Oreochromis niloticus: one gene and its partners. The protein of the gene in region 3 purifies or fractionates together with the protein of the main gene of each other region. This does not show direct contact. Links are inferred from orthologs where the notes say so. Each region holds a gene or a part of one and is shown on either strand. Other genes may lie near its edges.

The links. Proteins that work in one complex are often made in the same cells at the same time.
Region 1: the proteins of raf1a (region 3) and cct8 purify together in Homo sapiens (affinity purification with mass spectrometry; 4 studies listed by BioGRID and IntAct, with this or other methods). This does not show direct contact. The link is inferred for Oreochromis niloticus from reciprocal best matches to the Homo sapiens genes RAF1 and CCT8.
Region 2: the proteins of raf1a (region 3) and bag2 purify together in Homo sapiens (co-immunoprecipitation; 3 studies listed by BioGRID and IntAct, with this or other methods). This does not show direct contact. The link is inferred for Oreochromis niloticus from reciprocal best matches to the Homo sapiens genes RAF1 and BAG2.

What each region holds. Positions count from the first base shown.
Region 1 is NC_031975.2:13,928,347-13,936,175, forward strand, and holds the start of cct8 (T-complex protein 1 subunit theta), read right to left. Parts: upstream 3,053-7,829; 5' UTR 2,921-3,052; coding exon 2,861-2,920; intron 2,353-2,860; coding exon 2,262-2,352; intron 2,175-2,261; coding exon 2,095-2,174; intron 1,998-2,094; coding exon 1,848-1,997; intron 1,737-1,847; coding exon 1,556-1,736; intron 1,459-1,555; coding exon 1,397-1,458; intron 1,320-1,396; coding exon 1,182-1,319; intron 1,094-1,181; coding exon 915-1,093; intron 541-914; coding exon 474-540; intron 390-473; coding exon 302-389; intron 214-301; coding exon 98-213; intron 1-97. UniProt on the Homo sapiens protein: Component of the chaperonin-containing T-complex (TRiC), a molecular chaperone complex that assists the folding of actin, tubulin and other proteins upon ATP hydrolysis.
Region 2 is NC_031978.2:19,992,684-20,000,408, forward strand, and holds bag2 (BAG family molecular chaperone regulator 2), read left to right. Parts: upstream 1-4,673; 5' UTR 4,674-5,039; coding exon 5,040-5,161; intron 5,162-5,467; coding exon 5,468-5,577; intron 5,578-6,840; coding exon 6,841-7,235; 3' UTR 7,236-7,628; downstream 7,629-7,725. Other genes in the region: E3 SUMO-protein ligase ZNF451, read left to right, coding at 1-943, 1,013-1,081, 2,260-2,325, 2,863-2,942. UniProt on the Homo sapiens protein: Co-chaperone for HSP70 and HSC70 chaperone proteins. Acts as a nucleotide-exchange factor (NEF) promoting the release of ADP from the HSP70 and HSC70 proteins thereby triggering client/substrate protein release.
Region 3 is NC_031984.2:13,896,154-13,904,120, forward strand, and holds the start of raf1a (raf-1 proto-oncogene, serine/threonine kinase a), read right to left. Parts: upstream 3,049-7,967; 5' UTR 2,896-3,048; intron 2,787-2,895; 5' UTR 2,685-2,786; intron 2,339-2,684; exon of another isoform or gene 2,319-2,338; intron 2,084-2,318; exon of another isoform or gene 1,457-2,083; intron 1-1,456. Other genes in the region: cnbpa (CCHC-type zinc finger, nucleic acid binding protein a), read left to right, coding at 6,512-6,629, 6,756-6,821, 6,940-7,138, 7,298-7,415. UniProt on the Homo sapiens protein: Serine/threonine-protein kinase that acts as a regulatory link between the membrane-associated Ras GTPases and the MAPK/ERK cascade, and this critical regulatory link functions as a switch determining cell fate decisions including proliferation, differentiation, apoptosis, survival and oncogenic transformation.

The DNA.
Region 1 (7,829 bases), on a different chromosome or scaffold from region 3:
CCATTTGTCCATCCATCTAAAACGTAAGAAAAACAATCCCAACAAAAAAAACAAAAAACAAAAAAAAAAAACCCCACTCTGACTTATGTCTACTTACCCTGACCAGAACTTTAAAGGTGTTGACTCCATCATCTACAGCCCTCTCAATATCATCCATGAGGTTGTCAGTGGAACCTCTGATCACCACGGTTGAGATGACACCATCCTCTTTATCTGTTTGAAAGTGTCAGCACCAACCAACAGGTTAACTCAGAAAGGTTTAAATTAAAGATTCACAAGCCTGAAGAAAGGAGTCATTTACCATGTTTGAAGACCACCACCTGAGTGTCTCCCACCTCAGTCAGATATACACTGTCACAGTGACCCATCTCATCCGGAGTCGGAGCCATCTAAGGATGACAAAAATGTATTTATGGTTAAAAATGGACGGCTCTTTCAAATGCCTGATCTGATAAACACAAGTGTACACTCACCATCTTGGGCAGAGCTACAGCTCCCACAGTCTTGCATAACCTCCTGAGGTCCCACTTGGAGTTAAGCCTGACGAGAAGGAAAAAAGAACGTTTATGGCTGGGAAACACACAATGCCAAAGATACATTATATTATATTATTATAAATCATGTAATATTTAACATACAGCATCAGATATTTATTTAAATTTCCTAAAAGAAATGCAGATACAGTTACATCTTGCACCTTCAAAATAAAAGTTTTAGTCCTACGTGGCCATGAAAAGACCATCTGTATTAGCAAAAAGATCAATCCTTTACTTGGGAGAAACGTGATCTCTTAAGCAAATTACATAAAACAATAAGCTCGACTAGAAGCAGAAACTCAGACTGAATTTGCCTTAAATGTCTTGCGCTTTGTATAAGATACATTCCCTGCCCACTTTAGGCTTTGTAGTTCTTACCTGACCACCATGAGTTTGTACTTGTTGGCGTAGTGCAGCGCCATGTCAGCCACTTTCCCCCCAGTTACCACCACAGTGGCACCAGCCTCCTTGATCGCCTTCACGTTAGCTTCCATCAAATCCTCCTCTCCTTTACTGAAGTCCATGAGCTCCTGTGCATTATTTATCAACACTGTGCCCTGTGGAACAGAAGGGACTATCGTCAGCACAGAGAGCAATGTCAGCATCATCTTCATTAAACTTTATATATCAGTCACCTCCACTTACCTTGGTCTCTGTCACCATGCAGTCGAAGGGGCAGGAGAAAACGGCGATCTTGGCTTCTTTCACTGATGTGACGTCTCCCTCTGCCTCTTTCTTAAAAACCATGCCATGAAGCATAGAGGATGCCGTCACCCCACAACCCTAAAATGACCACAAATGTTAATAGAGGCCAAACTGCATACGCACACAAAATAAAACCAACAGAAGATGCTGCTTACCAAAATCTTGCATACTCTGACGTTATCAACATTGAAATTGCCGGACTCTGGGAAGATTGATACTGCACAAAGAGGGGAGAAAAAGGAAGTCAGAAAAATACCAAGGCAATGCTAAAATCGAGACAATCGAGTCTGAGATAGTGTGCACTTCTGACTCACCACAGGCCTCTGCAATGAGGTTGGCAAGGAAGTCTTCGTTGCCGTACTGTTTACTCATGACTGCTGTACGGATGAGCGACTTGGCTTCATTAATGTTATGGAGGTTCTTGGCTGAGGAGCAAACACAGTCTGACAGGATCTCCAGAGTCTTCTTACAAGCCTTCTCGTAGCCTTCAATCACCTGTGGCAAAGAAGAAAAAGGGGGCACTGAGAAAATGCACCAATCATAGCACTGTGACATGCACATGTATGACATTAAGCCATGCTACTTTACTAATATTATCTTGTTTACCTCTGAAACAGACAAGCCCATTCTAAGGAGCTCTTCAGCCAGCTCCAGCAGAGCTCCAGCAAACACCAGGACAAAGTTGGTACCATCGCCGACTTCCTGTTCTTGCATGTGGGACGCCATTACAATCATTTTAGCTGCGGGATGCTGCACCTGTAAAACAAACAAGAATTTACATAAACAGTTAAATTCATACATTTATTATGCACTCAGCTGAATTTCAGTGAGGTGCACAACATTGTCTCCTCACCTCAAGCTCTCTGAGAATTGTTGCAGCGTCATTGGTGACAAACAGCTTCTCTAAATGGTTGATGACCATTTTGTTCATACCTAAAAGAAAACACTTCATTTAACGGGTGCTGCTTTGATATCTTTGCAGAGCACGACCCTAATAGGCTGTAGGCAGACCAAACTTACCGTTGGGCCCATAGGCAGTGCGGGTGGTTTGAGAAAGTTCCTTACAAGCTCTGATATTACGGAAGACAGCCTCTTCAAGACCTGAAAAGTGCTTTAACAGACAAGAAATCAGCTTTTCAAGACAGGTGCATTACCGTTCATTTCCACGTCAGACTAATATATTTAGCTTACTACCTAACCATGAATATGTTAAAAGCAAATAACTGGATATAATATGGATAGTCTGAGAATGTAAGCATTCCATTAAGCATCGGCATCACTTTAAGCTGACAGTACTGACAGTTAGCTGAATGCTAGCTGGGTGTGACTGCAGTGTGACATCCCGTTATAACAGCAGCTCAACCGCTGCTGCTGCTATATTTAGCACGGTTTAGACTGAAGGGAGACAGTGAAATATCAAGAATAAGCATTTCATCTTCCCTAACAGACCTTCGTCCAGCAGCCGGCTGGGCGGCCTGGCTGCCGCTTTCTAGAACTATCCCTCATGACTCTGAATGAACAAGCTAACTCAGCGGCTAACGTTAGCTAGCAAGCACGCTTCTTCACAACTACTCAGTCAAAGCTTATCTACGAGCCCGATATTCCTAATTTAACCCCACCTTGGCGCCATCCTTTAACATCTGGGCAAAGCCCGGAGCTTTTGGGACGTGGAGGGCCATTTTCAAATTTTTAGCAGCCCCGGTATCCTAGAGAAGGTAGCCGCGGCGTGGGTTCAACTCTGGGTACAAAGCCGGAGAGGCAGAGGTGGAGCGACTTCAGCGAGGCAGCGAGCTACAGACGGGTGACAACAAAGGACAAACAGAGCGATTCTCGTTTCACCGCGCAGTGATCGTAAAACACCACACGGGGGCACTCTTACCGTCATGTGTTACTATAATGAAACCCAAGTCAATGACTTTAAGCTACCTCACCAAAGAAACACAAGTAAAGTACGACAGATGGCATTTCTGATTTCCTGTTGTTTACTTGCTTTGTCAAATTTCTATCATTTGTCATGAAATATTACAAATATAATGAATTATTAGCATTCACAGTATTGTTGTTGTAATCTTTATTATTCCGTTTTATATATTCCATACGTTTTTTGGCATCTAACTCCTTCAAAACCGTTCAACGTAGAAAAACCATTCAACCACCATTCGATTCCTCTTCTTTTGGACATTACTGCTTCTATTTTTCTCACTTTTAACTTTTATATTTTTTAAATTATTCAACTTTATTCAACAAAAAATTATAACGGATTTCAATGGGGAGACCCTTCAAATTCTCATTCAACTTACTCCTCTTCCAACTCTATCTACTTTGACATACGTTGACCTAGAGCCAACGCTCAGAGATTTGAACTTTTTGAATTGTGTGGCTCAAAGTAGAGGGATAACCTTCTAACTGACCCATAGAAACACATTGTATTTTTAGTCAGGAGTTTGTCTCAACAGCAGGAACGACCCCACTTTTTAAATTGCTTCTGTCATCACATTTTTGACACCACAAGGATAAAAGAGACACTGTTGTGTAGAACAATTCCTTGGGATCCTCATAGTTCAAAAGCTGTTTTGATGGGAGTTAGGGTCTTGGATTTAGATGCAGTTTTTCAACAGGTGCACCAAGGCAGATTTGACAGGGTTTTGCCACAGAATAATAGTATGCCAGTAGTTAGTGCAGGCCAACTAACTCCTTGGTGTTCACATCAGGAAACTGACAGACCTGGGCATCAGTTCCCTCATCTGCAAATGGTTACTGGACTTCCTGACCAACCGCCCCCAACATGTCCGACTGGATAACCGCTGCTCATCAACAATCACAATGAACACCGGTGTACCACAAGGCTGTGTGATGAGCCCTTTCCTCTACTCCCTCTTCACCCACGACTGCAGACCTGCTGATGGTTCCAACACCATCATTAAGTTTGCAGATGACACCACGGTGATTGGCCTCATCAGCAACAACGATGAGACCGCCTACAGGGAGGAGGTGGATCGTCTGGCTGAGTGGTGCGACACAAACAACCTGCTGCTTAACACTGAGAAGACTAAGGAGCTCATCGTGGACTACAGGAGGAATGCTGACCCACATCCACCCATCCACATTAAGGGGATGGCTGTGGAGCGTGTGAGCAGCTTCAAGTTCCTGGGAGTCCACATCTCCGAGGATCTCATCTGGATGACCAACTGCTCCAAGCTGGTCAAGAAGGCTCACCAGCGCCTCTTCTTCTTGAGGACTCTGAGGAAGAACCACCTGTCCTCAGACATCCTGGTGAACTTCTATCGCTGCACCATCGAGAGCATCCTGACCAACTGTATAACAGTCTGGTACGGGAACTGCTCTGCCTCGGACCGGAAGGCGTTGCAGAGGGTCGTGAAAACTGCCCAGCGCATCGCCGGAGCACCACTTCCTGCCATAAAGGACATCTACAGGAAGCGGTGTCTGAAAAGGGCTGGGAAAATCATCAAAGACCCCAGTCACCCATCACATAGACTCTTCACCCTCCTGCCCTCTGGGAGGCGCTACAGGAGCCTCCGGACTAAGACCACCAGGTACCGGAACAGCTTCTTCCCCACAGCTGTCAGACTCCTGAACTCTGCCTCCTGACATCTGACCCATGTTAAACTCATGGACTGAACATACACACACCCACAACCACTAGCACTTTACCACTACTGTATAGTTCTGTGTAAATAATCATTCTGTACATACGATAATTTTTAATCCCACAACTGTTTATAACTTACATAGTTCACATTTCTGTATAACTGTATATCTCAGATTTCTGTATAGTTTTTATTTCATATTTATATCCTGTTCATAGCCTGTACATAGCTTGTACTCACTACAGCCTGTACATACTTATAGTTATAGAATATTCATAACATACTTCACACTGTGTACATTATAACATACCATAATAGACCCATTTCTGTAATATACTTACACATCTCTATTATTGCTAATATATATTGTAATATATCTATATCACGACTAAAGCACTTTCTGGATGGACGCAAACTGCATTTCGTTGCCCTGTACCTGTGACATGTGCAATGACAATAAAGTTGAATTCTATTCTATTCTATTCTATTCTATTCTATTCTATTCTATTTATATTAATAGTTTTCTATGACAAAAAAGTACAAGTGTTCATTTAAGTAAATAAACAGAGCAGTAAGAGATGTTTTTCAATTTTTTTTTTCTTTATTTTGATTTGCTGCTAATGACAATTTTTTTATTTGTAGATTTTGTAGTGCTCCCTACAATTTGGACCTCTCACCTGAATTTTTAAAATTTTGTTCAATCCAATTAAATTAAATTAAATTAAATTAAATTCAAGCCCAACAATCAAATGATCCCCTATGAGAGCAAGCACTAGGCAACAGTGGAAAGGAAAAACTTCCTTTTAACAGGAAGAAACCTTTGACAGAACCAGGCTCAGAAAGGGGCAGCCATCTGTCATGACTGGTTGGGTGGTGAGAGGTAAAAGAAAAGAAAAATGAGAGCACAATTTAGATATGTGTTGCTCACATTGCCTAAAATGAACAACATGTGGTTTTCTGGACTGTGAAGGAAATCCCTCAAGTCACTTTTCTGTGAGGTGACTGAAGACTTTGCTGGATGGCCGAGCGGATGCTTTTCAGAAACAGTTCATTTCCTTTCTTGTTTAAATGAACTCCGTCGGGTAAAAAAATTGAGTTGTTGAAAAACCTCAAGCGTGGATGCTCAATAATCACTCCAGCAAAGCGGTTGACAGCCTTTCTAATGCTGGCGTTCACGATCTTTCTGTCCTTATTGATTTGGCCTGGATTTCCATATCTCCACACTTGACGCTCGTTGATGGATGAATATACAATTTTCATTGAGGGGAACTCTGTGTGCAATTGCATCAATTCCTTCTCAATGACAGAAGAAAGTTGATAAGCAGACATGAGTCCCAAATCATTTCCCCCAGCATGGATTACCAATATGTCAGGTGGGCTCTGTGTGGATAGCTCCTCATAAAAACGAGGAAGGACTCCACTCCAGCGCATCCCTCCTTTGCCAAACCACTGGACTTTGGCATTAAGTCCGAAATTTTCTCCGAATATCTCTTTTGCGTCACTCTCGCCTCGTCTGATGTAGCTTGACCCAATGATCCAGACTTTTGTTTCTCCCTTCTGGAGATTGATTCTGTGTGGTCTCTCAATGGCAATACATGGGAAGCTGTTAGAGAGGCCAGGGTTGAAAAAGGGATGCCGGAGAACCTCCGAGGGTGTTATGCGCTGGTGTGCATCTATGGCCAACATCTTTTTAATCAGGCTGACAAATAAGCTTTGGCCATCTTCTGGTCCTCGTCTAACCTTCATTATTTGTTCGAGGTCATCGAGACATTTAAGTTTTATGTATCGAGTCTCCAGGGATGGATATCCTGTCTCGTACTGAAATTGTTGGTCAGTCTTAAATGTCCAGCGCTGTTGCTTGTAGTTGTCTTCAATGAAATAGTCATCAGTGTAAATGCCAGAGTCTAGAACATGATCTGGTAGCTGACCCTGAGTCTCTATGATGAATTTCAGATAATCATACTCATTCTCCGCAGGGTAGAGTGGCACCCCTGTAGCAAGCTCCACAGCTACCAGACCCAGAGACCACATGTCACTTGCTTCATTATAAGGAAGGCCAAGCACAACCTCAGGTGCACTATAACCAACTGTCCCCACGCAGTCACTAGGATTCACTGCAGACGCAGGACATGCGAGGCCAAAGTCTATGAGTTTGACTTTGACTGGAGACTCATGGCGGTTTACAACCATGATGTTTCCAGGTTTGAGGTCAGCGTGCACTATTCCCACAGAACCCAGGTGGGACAGAGCACTTGTGAGTTGACCTAAAATTGGCCTGAATTCGCTTATGGGGAGACCCTGGTTATTCCGGTCCCGTATGTAGTCCCACAGGCATTGATCAAGGAGTTCAAACTTTAGGCAAACCCGCTCTCCGTCTTGGAAAAAGCCGTCCCATTTAACAATGTTGGCGGCATCTGGATCCAACTGTCGCAGCTGCTCCAGGATGAAAATTTCCAGTTTTGCCTCTTGCTGAACATCAGGGCGGCTCTTGTTGACTTTAATGGCAATAGCTTGGTTGGTTTTTGTGTTGCGACATTTGGCTACAATACCAAAGGCCCCTTCTCCAAGTAAAGCCTCTACCTTGTAGTGGTTTCCCAAAATGCTCCCTTCAACTATTTCAAGCTCATCTGAGCTGAAGGATGGGCTGGCTGACATGTTGATGTGCACTTGTTGAGAAAATTCAACAGAGTTTTGGAAACTGCAGTTGATTTTCTGTGATCTCTTACTTTTCAAGTTTGAAGGCTGCTGAAAGACCACAGGGTTTTGTCCTCTTGTGCTACTCGTGTCAATGCACAGGGAACTCTTAGGGTCGAAAAAGGGATGCTGGAGAACCTCCGAAGGTGTTATGCGCTGGTTTGCATCCAAGGCCAACATCTGTTTAATTAGGCTGACAAACAAACGTTGGCCATTTTCAGGTCCTTGTGTAAACATCATTACTTGTTCAAGGTCATCAAGGCTTTTAAGTTTTAAGCATCGAGTC
Region 2 (7,725 bases), on a different chromosome or scaffold from region 3:
TGCCGCAAGTGCAAAGTGGAAATGCCTCGGTACGAAGACATCCTGTCACACGTGTCCGGAGCTCACAGCGGACACACGTATTTCAGTGAACAAGAAGTGCCTGAGCAGCTTCCCATAATCGTTGATGTCAAGCCATCCACTAGCAGTGACATCACATTTCACTCCTTGTCTGTGGCCAAAGTCCAGCTGAGCACAGAGGTGTCTTCATCAAAAGTAGAGCAGTCTTGGATGTGCAGGATGTGCGAGGATGTCTTTGACTCGGAGGTTGCCGTCCGCAAACACTGTAGCGATGTTAGTAGTCACAGCTTTCAGAGATTCGTCTGCGGACACTGTCCTCAGAAGTTCTTCAAAGAGTCCACCGTACGGAGACACTGTATGAATGAGCATGATGGGGTCATAAAAACTTCCTATTTCTGCGGCCTCTGTGACAGCATGGAGTTCGGATCTGAGGAGGAGTTTTTTGAGCACTACAAGAATCTTCACAGTAAGGACTACTACTGCATGGATGACGTTGAAGTTGTTCAACCAGATGCCGCCACTGCCGCTGAGAGTACCAGTCAGTTTACATGCCCGTGCATGGGTTCAGAAAAAAGTAAAGCAGACATGAAAGCCACTTACACACAATGCATGAGGAATCTGGCTGCGGAAGAAAAATGCCAGTACATCTGTGTGCCTTGCGATGTATCTGTTCCATCCTATGCACAGATCAAGACTCATGTCCACACAAAACACACAGCCTTGAACCTGGACAGGAGCTTTGACATCAGATGCAAAGACTGCCAAGAGAGTTTTATGGATGTACCGAGTTTCCATAAACACTACCACTCGCAACATTGTACACTGGATCCCTGCATGAGTTCCAGGACCTGCAGGAAAGGCTCGAAAGCAGAACCCACCACTCCAAGAATACCTAATGCTGTGGAGAATAAACCAGAGAGCAACGGTAAATCGGTTAAACTGATTCACATTTAATGTCTTGTGTTTGAATGTTAATTTGTATTCATGTTTGCAGAGATTGACGACGAAACGCTGACAGTTTTCAACACTGATCACACCAATGACAAGAGTGAAGTGCAGGAAGGTAGGCAGTAAACTATACATATATCACTGATATACAGATGAGGCCAGAATTATTAGTCCCCCAATGAATTTTTTTTTTAAAGTGTTGTTAAACAGAGGAAGGAATTTTAATCACAGCTTTTTCAAAAATCCTAGATTTTTATTGGTTACATTATTTTTATTTTGCACACAGGAACCAAATTATTTATACAAACTACCATAGACAAGTGATGAGTCCTCTTGATGCTAATAGGTGGTGTATCCTTTTTGCTGGATAACAGCCTGCAATAGTTGTTTGTAGTTTTCAACTAGTCTCACACACATCGCCTGAGCAATCCCAGTCCATTCCTCTTTGCTGAGTCTCTCAAATGCTTTCAGATTTGATGGTCTCCTGGCATAGACTTTGGTCTTCTGTTTAACCCACATCAAGTCAGCTCTTTGAGCAGTCCAGCCAGTAATGTTGACTTTGGTCTTCTGGAGGTAGTTCTCCACCAGGAGTGACTTATTGTTTATGTCGTCATGTTGGAAGACAAAGTAACTGCTCAGACCCAGTTTTCCTGGTTTTCTTTAAAAATCTTCTCATATCTTTTTTTCCTTCAGGATTTCTTTCACTTTGACAAAGGTGTTTTTCAAGTGATAACTCAAACTCTTTTTGAGGTTCTTATGCTTTCTTTAAATTGGAAGATAAACCCACAGTTTTAATGATTTTACAAGCTTTGAGCATTACAAAAATAAAGCACATCGTTGGACAGTGGTGGTTTTTGCTATAGCTAAATAAAAAGGCCAGTTTTCTCAGGGAGCTAATATTATTGACCCTGGTAATTTTTGTTTTTTTTCTTAAACAATTCTGTTATTGTGTGCAAATACAAATAATTTATGCTTCCTAAAGAAAACTAGTGTGTTTAGTAATCCTATGTTGAAAATCCTTAGCTCTATTGAAAAAGCACTGGGACAAATTTGAAATGGACAAAATGTTAATTTTCATAGGGGACTAATAATTTTGTTGTCACCTGTAACTAGAAAGAAAAGGCTAGATACTAAATAAATGCTACTTCGTTTTTTTTATCTCTTTTCGTCATGAGACCCTAACGGCTGTCTGTTTAAAGAGAACTCTTCCTTTAGCTCAACTGCTAATAATTATTTGCATATTTAATCCTATGAATGTCCTGCTTGGATAAACGACTCTGTATTCTGTTACAGTTGAATCGGATGACGAAATGAAACGCGCGCTGTCTTTGAGTGCAGAAGAAGCGCAAGAGTCAGCAGGTATGTGTATGCAGGGCTGAGGATATAGTCTCTTTCTCTTTTGAACAGTTTGTAAGTCAGTACAATACAACATATTGTCTGTTTTGCTGAATTTATTGTATTGAGATAAACATCCAGTACGTTATGCAATCGGTGATTGTTAACATTGCCCTGCACATTAAGGAATGAAAATGTCGACGGATAACATGCAGGCCTAAAAAAATATTTGAACAGTTGGTTTAGTGAGGTTTATTCCCAGCCTTTTGGGAGAGTTTTTTTTTGTTCTTTTATTAGATAGGAACAGACAGGAAATATGGGATGCAGTGTGATGTGCACTCACAGTCTGGCTGGCCAGGAATCAAACCGTGACTCACTGCTTGGAGGAATTTGAACACATTTAACAAATGTCGAGACAAAGAATGTGTTTGATCAAATTGATGAAAAAGAAACTTGTCTGTAGTTTTGTGTACTAAAATGATGTCAGGCTTACATTTGAGAAAGCATGAACCTGCTGCTTAAATCAGAAAGTAATGTGATGAATTACATCTGTGTAAACAGGCTCTTCAGAAATTCATAAATTACCTTCCTACTGGGGACAAACAGTAAAAGACGGTGACGTGAGCTCAAGCATAGGATGACACAACGTTCATCCGACCATCTCAATCTTCAATGCTCCATGGTTATGAAATATTTTCAGAAAGATGAAGAGAGAAGTCAGTCCTCGGAACAAAAGGCACTCAGAAAGACCATCAGATTACAAGAAAATGCTTAGAAACACCACAGAGGAGTGCTTTGAGCAGGATTACAGACACAGCTCAGTTCAAAGACTATTCGAAGTGTGGGTAGAGGGGAGTGGAAACTATCCAGCTCACAGACTGGGACAGCTAGGCTTAAATTTGCAAATAACACGCACAGAAAGTCTGCAGCTATTGAAGGTGTTATTTTCAGACAAGTCCAAATTTAGCGTTCATGCTGAAACTCCAATCAGTGTCCAGATTTTAGATTTCATCAAAACATGAAATCTAAAACAAAGCAGCTGCCTACTGAAAGAATATTTTTCCCAGGAGAAGATGTTAGAATGATGTCGGCACGGAGTGAGAGTCGATCTTTGTGGCACCTGTGAGACGTCATGAAGAGGGGGGCGGGGAGTGTGGATGACCTAAAGGCTCTGCTGGCTCAAAGACGAAGGAAACATTTTGGGGATCACTATAAATAGATTTGGAGATATGAAAGAATAGAAATGTTAAAGTTATGACATTATGGTCAACATAAAATGTTCTGTGTTGTTGAAATGATGCAGTTTGTAGTGTTTTCCATATGGCCATGCTGGTATGAATGAAGGTTTTCTCGTGTAATTTGTTTTCACAGAGTTGGAAGAAGCTCTCAAAAGAAGCCTCCTGGAGTTCTGAGAAAGTCGGTAGTGCTTTTGTAACATGCTGTTCATCGAACGTTATACTAGAATGTTTTGTACAAGGTAACGTGTTCAGAATATAATAAAGAATTAAATGTTTGTCCTGTTTGGGTTTTTTTTTACTTTTTCTGAGTTTGTCATTATTTGCAGTAAGTGGACACCAAACTGAACCGTGCAGATTTGCAATTTTGTAAGCTTGACACTTGTGAGGAGCCAGAGTGTTTCGACACGTGTGCTATAGATGGCATCCACCACACTGCAAGATGCCTGAGCTGAACATGTGACCACAGTGCTGTGTCTCCAGTTGCGCTCTGTTTTCCAGTGTATTGTATGTCACAGACTCTCTTCGCATGGTGTCATGTGAATCCTGATCTTTCTACGCAAGAATGCTAGATTATTTTTCTTAAGGAAAAAGCTTTTGTGATACCAGAAGTCTGCAATATAAATTCACATAATTTTTGTGCTCCAGAAATGTGTTAATTTGGCGCACACACTTAAGAGTACACTCGAGTAAAACTTGTATACCCAGCAATTAATGTTCCCAAGAGCCCACATGAATAATGTGGGCTCTTGGATAAAATTAACTGCTCATCCCTGCATACACTGATCTGGGTAGCCAATTCCTTTTTATGAATTAACACTGAAAATATGCATTTAGAATCATCGTGTTGTAATCAACTGCAATATATCCATGAAACTTTTCATCCCCTTGGCTGTTACAAGCCAAATATCTGATTTTGGGCAAGTCAGCTAAAGAGCAAAAGCTTTGAGATATTAGTATATTTGATGACACATACAGGTTAGCACTCCTGTTGTAGAATTGCATCTCAGGCTAACTGCAGTGCCAGAGGTGAAGCTGCCTTTGTTGGTGAGGAAAAACTCCTCATTTAATGTAAGGAATTTATGCTATAGTATACATTTTTTATATTTTATAGTACTTGAGTCATTGATAGAAATCACTGTCAGAGTTAAAAGGTTGGTGGTGGATTCAGCAAAGTCTATTAACTAATTTTGTTGGACAAAAAATAGTGACTGTTATCCTATTTTAAATCCTAGCTAGTATTTCTGTGGACCGGACGGCCGTTTCCGTGGTCCTTCAGGGGGTCCTCGGACCCTAGTTTTGAGAGCACAGTTCTGGGCTCCTCGGGAAGCTTCTATGAGGAGAGAGTGAAGGAAGTTGCAGCCCATGTTTGGAAATGTTCTCCCAGGGGCGCTGCAGCAGCAGCCGGTGGAGCTACAGTCAGCTGGACAGCTCGGAGTTGACCGCACACGGGATTTGTTTTTACTCCGGAACGGATCAGCCTTGTGACGGGTATTCATCATCATGGCTCAGGCAAAAATACAGGCGAAGATGAACGAGGCTACCTGTAGCAAGTTCAGCAGGACGCTATCCATGGCAGATCGCTCGGGGCGGCTGCTGGAAAGTTTGGACCAGCTCGAAATGAGGTAGTTAAGTAACGGGCCTTAGCATGTGCTTTATGCTGAGCCACCTATTCAAGCATTGTCGTTTGTGGGATATATATGACTACTCACATCTTCTATAATAAGTTATTATAGCGCTTAAAATGTGCCATAAAAGTAGCTTTAATTTCTTAGCGGTTTTCCGAGAACAGTTAATGATCACATTTTACGCATATGTTTTATAGGTGGATTGCTTTTAGTTCGTAGCTCACAGCCTCATAATCATTACTCTCGCAGTTTAAGGATGCTTTTCAATGGATGGTTATTGTCATGCTTTGTTGTCTCCAACAGGGTGGAGGCTTTACGCGAAGCGGCATCGGCCATGGAGCAGGAAAGGGAGTGCATCCTGGAAATGATTCAATCTCTACAGAACAGTCAAGAAATGCGTAACATCTGTGCTGGTGAGGCGGTTTGCTGACTATCACAACTTGAACGCAAAAGTCACGCGCTGGTTGATGTCACTATAAAGATATAGCCTCCTAGTATCATTTTGTTGTTTTGAATTCCTGTATTTCTGCTCTGATGCCACTGCAACATTGTGATCCAATGAGGACACGCTTTGAAAGTGAACTTTTCTGTTGGGTGGAGGTGGGTTCGTGAATGTCTGAGGATTTAAAGAGTTCCACCCAGGTAGTTGTTTGCAGCTCCTGGATGTCATTTATACATCAACCTCCATTTTAATGAAGGCACTAAACTAGGCTGAACATGCTCATTGAAAACCACCTGCAGTCTGTATCTGATTACCCATATTTCATTTTTTTTTTTTTTCAAAGAAAGCGTCCACTTGCAAAGAAATCATTACAGTGTACAGTATTAGGCAAAAGTCTTGAGCCACTCCTTATTTCTTTCTACATTGACAGTAAAGTGGAAATAAGTGCAGTGATGTAGTAAAACATGCAAAAATAAATGGAAATACAAAATTTATGTGGCAAAACAGAATTTGGGCGACTGCCTTTTGTTCTGTTCTCTGCCAAGACGATCCCACCCTGCTCAGTAATGTTGTGCTTTGGGCTCTGGGGAGTCCAGTCCATTACAGATAGTGTTCCACTATGTGTTTCCTCTGTCTAGCTTTTAATCCATTAGCAATGTGTTTGGGATCATTGTCATGCTGAAAAATGAAGCCAATCAGATGCTTTCCAGATGGTACTGCATGGTGGATCAAAATCTGACGGTAGTTTTCTGTGTTCATAATTCATCAATTTTGACAAGATCCCTAACACCGCTGATACTTACTGCTGTATCTCTTTCGCAACCTCCTCCATACATACTGATGACAGTTTGAGGCAGAAAATTCAAATTCAGCAGACTTGATTTTCTGATACTATTTATCTGCTGTAGATTGTTTTTACACCAGCTGCTTTGTCTCTCAGAGAATTTTTTAGAAAGGTTTTGCAACAAGATGGCCTTGCAGATCTGAAGTGTAGATGTGCAAGCCCACCCTGTTGTTTTACACTGCATAAAATAACTGTGTCCCTGGCTTGTGGTAGATTGAGCACAGTCATGAACATGGAAACTTCAGATAATAAAGACAAGGGCAAGGATTTGAATTTAGATAAATCTAGCCAACATGCTACCCCTTACAAAACCTAGTTACCTGTGGTAATCTTTTCACTTAAAGAGAAAGTATTTATTTATTTTTTTTCCCCATATGTTGTGTCTCTTAGGAGAGAGAGAGGAGTTAACTTTAACTGCAAACCGTTTAATGGGCCGGACGCTGTCTGTGGAAATCTCTGTTGGGACAATCAGAAACCCGCAGCAGGAGGAGGCGCTACAAAAAGCCACATCCATCATAGATGAAATAGTGAAAAAGTTGCTGGACGACATGGAGGGGAGCAGGCAGAAGCTGCTGGCCCTGCACGCCGCATGTGTGACTGAAGCACCGGCCGTTCCCATCAACCAGAAGTTTCAGGCCATTGTGATCGGTTGCGCTCTGGAGGACCAGAAGAACATAAAGCGGAGGCTGGAGACTCTATTGAGAAATGTTGAAAATGCTGAAAAGAACATCAAGATTATGGATCATCAAAAACTGGAGAACACCAAAGCAAACGGTAGTCAATAAGACTCATCACCAAAGCATTAAATGTGCCTTGAATGTTCTCTTTCAGAAGGCTGCTACTTGTAGCAAGAAAAGTGAACAACAAATATCCAGTTTTACCAAATCATTGTCATTTTTACATTGATCTACTTAATATTGGTTACTTAATGTTTATACAATGTACGTGTGTGTTCACATATGCACCTAGTGCAGTAAAAGATGCTGAACAGCAATGAATTAAGTCTCTTTTTGTTTCATTGCCTCACTTTTAAAATTAGGTAGTTGATTTTGTAAGTGCACGCACTACCTCTTTATGTGAAATCAACACAAGATATATGGATTTTAGTTTGTATTTGCACATATGAGTTTTATTTCAGATCACGTGTCAAAAAACTAAATAAACCTGTTGTCTTATGAGTGTCGGGCAGAGACTTCTTTAAATATACAGTACTCCTCAGCAGTCAAGCTCCCAGATGGTTTTCCTTGGACCTTCTTAAAGTTTTGATGACTTCGT
Region 3 (7,967 bases):
TTTTTTTGTTTAGTTTTTTTAAATACAGACAAGCACGGTTGATTTGTGTGCATGCCATCTACAACTGAATGAAATGGTGACACAGAATGCAAAGGTACCACAACAAAGACATAACTGGTTAATGCAATGACAATTTTTTGCTGCAATCACTAAATATAACCTCAAAGAGTGCAGACTTCTTTGATTATAGCAAGATTAGGCCCAATGCTGATATGAAGGGTATCTAAGCAGGATGCCTAAAAGTGTGACAGGAAACGTAAAAGGAATCTTTCGGTTGTCATCTAATTAGTGGTTATTTGAGTTATAGAAAACCACATTTTGGTTTAAATGTATCACTTAGTAGTCTTGCCATTTAGTTTTGTAAAAGAAATATAGACTAGCTAAAACTATATTAAAACCAAGAAAATCTCTAGCATTCACAGGGGTCGGTCACAGTTACTTACAGACAAGGTTCACAATTATTTCAACATAGGATGAATTGAAACAAATAAAAAAGGGTAGTTTTCATGTCAACTGGGACTTAAATTTACTTCTTACAACTTAAGGTTTATGTACCCATCACAAATAAATAGGTTACTGCCCCCCTTCTGCTTTGTTTTCAATACAAACTATAGCACTTTACACAGGTCATCACATTTAGTAGGTATACCCTAATTTTCTGTGGTATCACTTAAACAAAGCCCTGTTAGCACTGAAGAGATCATTTACAGTAGTTACTGGTTAGCTGTCACAGCAGGTACACAGGCTTTTTTTTTTTTTTTTCAGAAGTACAGAAAAGCAGGAACTTGCAGAACTGTGGCTGGGCCACCTTCCCCACCATGCTGCTGGAACTGTGTCCAAAACAAGTGCTGTCACCCATCCAGGAAAGAGCCTCAAGAGAAAACGTGTTTGCCAAATCTAGAATAATTAAGATTTTACTCCCATCAGCTTTGATCTGTTCTTCATAGCAAGACAGTCTAAGCAACACAAGCCCACATCAGTGGTGCATCCACATAAGATCCTGTGACAAGTCTCCAAAGTCGCAAATGTAGGTGAGAGCAATCTCAGCAGGTTAGCATTATTTGTAGGTATTAGGTTGAGGGGATCACTTGACTTTTGAGTTTTTAACTTTGTCCAATTAAATAAAAACGTGCTGCTGAAAAAGACAAGGTACGGCTATAACCGAAGTGCGTGAGTGCTTTGTTCTGCTACAGCAGCTATTAGAAGTTACGTGTTTTATAAGGCCTGGTTGATCCAGTTATAACTATGAAATTGCCTGAAGGCCGTCAGACGCGGACTATATCGTCAAACTTCACTGCACGGCTCCGTTCGCCCTCCATTCAATTTTCTCTTGCTCAAACGATTCATTTCTTTGGTAATGCGAGTTGTGGTGAAGCGTTTTTAACTAAAGAGTTAGCACTTCAAACATGAGTCAAAGAGTAGCAATGCTAGGGGCCAGTAGCCTGTATATGCTCACCATGAGAAGTTAAAAAAGTTGTGCTCCGCCATAACTTCAGGAAAAAGTGGCCTCGGTGACATCATCATATTTGCAACGCATTCAAAGAAAAGAGGAATAATTCCAAGTCGGTAAAGATCCAGACACTGTATCAAATAACCCTGTATCCGGTAAATGTTGCATTAATGTAAGAGGGTAAGGTCATAGGCGGGTCTCCTTTTCGAACCACCCAAAATAAGAGAAGAAAAAAAGTTTTCTTCCTCTTCTTTTTTTTTTTTTTTTAATCTCCAATTCGTGGTAAAAGCGAAAAAATCCGTCTGTCCGTCGGACCCTCAAAGTGACACGACGAGGGATATTCTTCAAATCCAGCGAAGCACTTTCAAATTAAAACCTCCCCCCACAAAAAGTAGGTCCGCAGTGCTTCGCTTTGCAGCTCAATATTTACGTTGTTCGGGAGAAGAAGGTGAAGCAGTTTAAGTTGGTGTCGTGCGTCCGGCTGACGCCACTGATTGAAACAGGACCTTGCAGTCATATCAAGAGTTGCAAGCATCACTCACACTGCGCAACTACAGCACAAACTAAGCCCTCCCACTTTACTGGTATTGTCGTTTTTTGTGCTCATAAAAGAGTGAGTATGATTATATCTGAATCTACTGGGTTCGCAATATCATTACATATAAGATACTTTGTAGCCATATTGTGCAGCTTACGCCACCTTTCATACTATCGTGCGGAGAGCTCATACTTGCAAAAACATGTTTTTTCTTTTCCTCAAATGGTACTGCGCATGAAAAATTAACATGCATTTAAATTATTATTATTATTATTATTTTAAAGTTTTCGCAAAAGTATCTTTTGAAAAGCAAGCGAAAAGGCCCACTACCGGTTTGGTGTGAAGGAGTAATCCTCTCCAAGGGCACCATCATCTGGAGACTTTGGGGCAGTGCAATTTTGTAGACCTGGACATAATTTTATAGCCTTTTCACCTCTTAATGCTAAAATTCTTATACTTATGTGGCAAAAAGGACAATGGAGTCTTGTGGTAAGCCATGCAGGCTGCAGCTATTAAAAAAAATTTAACTAATACAAAAAAACAAATCTCACTTATAATGTGCTGGACAGAAATGCGTCATTGTTTTATTTCTATTAGATTTTAATATGCTTTTCAAACATCCCAGCTGTTTCTTATGATCTAACACCGCCACTTCATCCTACCCAAAGTAGTACATTATGACAGTATCGAACTCACCATGTGTTCACCATCTCTGTTGCTTCCAGGTCTGGGTCCCCTGAGGTGTCCTAATCACAGATGGTTCATAAGGTCTTTTGAGCAAGCTGTAGTTGACACCATCTGAAAATAAAACACCACGTTCCAGTCAGTGGTTGATTAAGCATCCTCGTGTTGTTTTCATATAGCACTAGTAGATTATTTTAGTCAAACAACAAAATCAAAAACCTACCATCCATAATCCAGTTCAACAGTAAACCCTACTTTCAGTTCTCATATGTAACTTTCCAACGAGGTCTTCTTTTCTGAAAATGACAGATATTCAACCCAACAAGTAACAGAAACACCGAATACTGTTTCTGTGAAGATGAGGGCAGGGCTTTGTCATTGTGGATCATTTTAAGGTACCCCACTCCACATACAATAGGAGCACAGTTTATCAGTCAGTGAGATATATTAAAATTCTCTTAATCTGTGCAGAAATATGCTTTACAGGTGGTTATATTTTGCCAGATCTCCAGTAAAGATTGTGAGCTGCAAAATTAAGACTAGAAAGGAGAGAAATTGCAACCCTGAAGGCAAACAACCAAAGCCACCTTAAGACTGAGATGAATGCATTTCCCACTTATTGATTTGGCACAGCACTCAGACCAGTTAGCTGAGATGCTTGCAGCTCCCACAGATTGTCTCTCTATCAGTTACCCTGTATTCAAAATGTGATGCAATTAGGAGTTTTTGAAGAGCTGGGGTTGTGCAAATGAGAAATCACCAGCTTGAAACACATACCCTTGTACTCTTTATCATAATCAGTGTTACAGGTTTATTGATAATGACATTCATATCCCAGATCCTTACAAGTTTTCAGAAATACATGTTAATGTTCATTTCTTAACTTTGGGCACTCACAAACACAACAGATTGCCTGTAAACAGTAAATTCTGATATGCTTAATAAGAGGAAAAACAGTGTAATGTAACATTTTTAACATATTTATTATTCACTGTGCTATTCTCTTAATTGACCTAATAACGCAAAATAATTTGAGATAATTCCAGTGTTGCTTGATTGCTCTGAGTCAGAGATTATGACAACAATACTCCAGTCTTTGCCAATTCACATCAAACACATTTAAACATTTTCAACTGCCTGGATTAACAAGACAAATGTCTAAATTGCTTATTGTATTAATTTTGTAAACAAAGCTGCTTCTGAAATCTTTCTCAGCTAATGTCAATTTAAGTTGTGTTAAATCAAACTCTTAAATCAAGTCTCTATGATAGAGGCATACATGTACAGCCAACATTTTTGTTAAATATTGTGAGAGCAAAGGCTGTACTTACTTTTTTATTTAGATATGGCCTATGGGGACATCCAGACCAACCAGTTTTTAACTTGCTCAGAGTCCTATAGGCAAATTAACCTCAGTAAACTGAAGCAAGATGATAAATAAAAACTGTCACGTAGAAACCTTTTCAGTTTCCAGATTAAATGTGAAGAACTGTGAGCATTTTGTATGGGCAAGCTAACTGTATCCATGCTGTGACTCTCACATGTGGTTAATTTTTGAAGAACGTCCTATTAATAGTTAATAAAAGCACTGTGTTGTATTGCAGTCGCAGTGGTAGTGTGAGAAGTGTAGTGCAGGTAAAGTGAAGACTATAACATTCTCTAGCGTTTGTTTTAAGAAGCTTTTAAATGTTGAACATGATGAGGGGGGAAAAAATAAGGTCAGTCGATTAAGGGAAAAGGGACCGTTCTAAAGCCACGATTGGCTGATTCATAGAGGCGGTGTCCAGAGCCTCTCATGTGTGATTGGCCGCTCGCAGAGTAGTCGACCAATGACTGTGTGAGCTTTTAATGGATACGGTGAATGACAATTCAGGAACTCCTGCTCGCACCGCATGTAGCGCAAAGAAGGAGGCGTAAACACTGACATAGCTAGGTAGCCATCAAGGTAAGCAATAAAACGACATTAAAAATACTTTCATCAATTTACGTTGTATATCTTTTAACTTTGAAACGAAGGCATGTTAAGATTGATGTTAACCTTTACTTGAGCGTTTAATCGAATTTCTTTTTTCTAAAATACGCACTGGTTTAGTTTAGACTCACTAACGAAGCGTCGGGATCTTGGTCAGGCCCGCTAATGCTAGCTCGTCACAACGACTTTGGTGTTTGCGCCCTGCGCGGGAAATTTTATACTTATGGTAAATTTACTGAAATCCCTGCGAAAACAATGTATTGTGAAAATGTATCGCTATAACAGTGGGTGAGACACTTTTCTATATGGGGAAAGAGGACTGATCGTCGACTGAACCGTGCTTCTTGATCGTGGTCGTGAGGTGGTGTGCTAGCATGTGCTAGCCAGCAGCATTGGTGTCTCGCGAGTACGCAGAAAAATCAACGTGACTAGGCCCGTGTTAGCGTAGCTTCAACCTTTTGGCATTTGATTTCTGTTTTGGAAGCGCAAAATATTTCTGAAACATGTAGTCAGATATGTACATTTAACAGGCATACAGTTTGTTTGTTTTTTAACGACTCGAGTTATCGTGCTATTGTTTGTACCTCGAGTTTGCTGGTATCATTGAAGGCGTTAAATCAACAAATCAACGATGCGACATGCTGGCCTCTGAAGCTAGCTTTCTAAGTAAGCATGCTTTCGTGGTTATTTACGTAGCAGTCGGCAGTGGGTGGCATTAAATTGATTGTTTTAACGAGGATTACTTCATCACGGCTTTCTCCATCAAATCGAGGCGCGTTGGGTGTCCCCATGTGGCCCGTGGATAAACGTTATACGAAATTTTAGAAGGCGTTTAGTGACGAAAGTTGAAGTGGGACGGACACCTGGATGGACAGTAAAACAAAAAAGAAACAAGCTTCACTGTATGCAAAGTCAATAAAATCTATCTGACTCATTAGGTTGCCCCAGGTCTTCTTTTGGGATGGGTAATACGGGAGAATTGATTACTCATTAACTCACATTCTTCCTGATTTGATGTCTTCAGCACTATCAGCAAACAGAAGTTTGACCTAGGGCAATTACAGCATGATCCCGCTGAGGAAGCCTTGTAAGTTAGTTTAGTAGTTGAGTGTAGTCTGGTGGTCAGTTATGATAGACTAGAGCTTGGCAGAAGAAAAAAAACAAAACAACAACTATTGTTTGATTTTTAGATTAGATTCCCCCCCTTCCCCTGGTAGTCATTATACTAGAATGACTCCTGTAGTAACTGTGCTTCAGTTGTGATGTAAAGGTGTTTGACTCTGGCATAAGCAATTTTAAACATGAGACAATAAGAGTTAGCCTACTTTGACCACCCTTGAAAATCATTATTATTTTTGTTATATTCATGTAATTTTTGATGTTAGGTACTTGTGACAGAATTTTTTCTTTAGCCTTAAATTGTTTCATCAATTAAATTGCAAGATTTTTTGATAATCTAAATGTGAAATAGTGGTCTGCACATAGAGATGGATTTAGATTAATGTGCAGATTTCACATTTAAACTTCATTCTAAACTTACATTCTATAGATCACAGTTTAACACAAACTGGTATCCAAATTTAGCACCAGTAAAGGGCATTTCTTTCATCTACAATGTCCATACATGTACCTCTCAGAGGTTAGACTTAAGTTGGACTTGATGGTCACATCAAAACTGGAAGTTTGGAGAGTGCCAAAGATGATAGCCACATTCTCCAAGGGGAAAGGGGGGGGTCTTTGTTGAAACTAATGCAAAAGCTAACATGAACAACTGAAAAACAGTTGAAAGTCAGTGTTCATAAGGATCATTGAGTACATGAAACGATGTGTTAACTAATTTCTGTTTTTTTGTTTTTTCTTCAAGGTAATGGAGATGAGCAGCAACAGTGAGTGCTTTGGATGTGGCCGCTCTGGACATTGGGTCAAGCACTGCCCTAATGCCAGTGGTTCGCGTGGCCGTGGCAGGGGACGAGGACGAGGCAAGGGTACTATACTATTCTTGCCACACCCAATATAAACTGGATTTAATTATAGAAGGCATGGGTGAAAATGAAAGGAAAAACTCAATTCTTGTAGTTTTCTGCTTTGCTTATCTATCTGTGTCATTACAGAGCTGTTCTGTTATCGGTGCGGAGACCAAGGACACATGGCCAGGGACTGTGACCAAACTGAGGATGGTGTGAATTCCATTTGTTTTTCTTCAATTCAGTTTTACTTGGTACCGATTTTTCCCAGAAATGTTTTTTTCTTTTAATCATTTTTTTTTAATGTCAAACTGTTTCAATTTTTCCCCAGCGTGCTACAACTGCCACAGGAGTGGTCACATTTCCCGGGACTGCAAGGAGCCCAAAAAGGAGAGAGAGCAGCTCTGCTACACTTGCGGGAAAGCTGGTCACATGGCCCGTGACTGCGATCACGCCAATGAGCAGAAGTGCTACTCCTGCGGTGGGTTTGGCCACATCCAGAAGCTGTGCGATAAGGTGAAATGTTACAGGTAAGTATGGTTCTGTTAGGAGAAGCACGCTTGGTCCTATAGTTTGACAACATTTCTACTATTTTGAAGCCCTCCAATTCTAATCTTTAGGTATACTTGGGTTCTGTGTTAATTTTAGAGTCCGCTTTTATCGCACTCACCAAATTCTTTCTTTTTCAGGTGTGGTGAGATTGGTCACGTTGCTGTACACTGCAGTAAAGCAAGCGAGACTAACTGCTACAACTGCGGAAAGGCAGGCCACCTGGCAAAAGAGTGCACCATTGAAGCCACCGCATAATCAGTGCCCTCTGTTGCCCCTCCTTTTTTCAGATTGATGGTTGGTTGTATTATTTTCTCTGAATCCTCTTCACTGGCCAAAGGTTGGCTAACAGAGGCTAGTCCCAGGCCAGTGAGCCTCTCGACATGTAATACAAAGAAAGGGGTGAAAAAAATATCTTTCTGCATTCAATACAAAAAATGTTTTAGTTTGGTAGCGGTGTTATGTATAATGCTTTGTTAAAGAACCCCCCTTTCCAAGCCACTGGTGACCAGAGATGAATAAACGGGACTAAACATATGGGAATCTATAGGACCTCTGAGCTTGTGGAAGTGTATCTCAGTAAAATGAGATAGAAGAAGGGAGTAAATGGAAACCAAACTTCCATGTATGGTTATTTTGGTTTGTTTTAGTGGGATATGAGTTGGCCAAGAGAGTATGACATGGAAACAGTTCATAACATGATGCATTTCAGCCCTACAGCAGCTAAGTGGGCGATAACAAACTACATGTTATATTACTAAGATATAAAAATTTTGGAGTTGTTAAAAGAAACATGCTCTTTTATAGAAA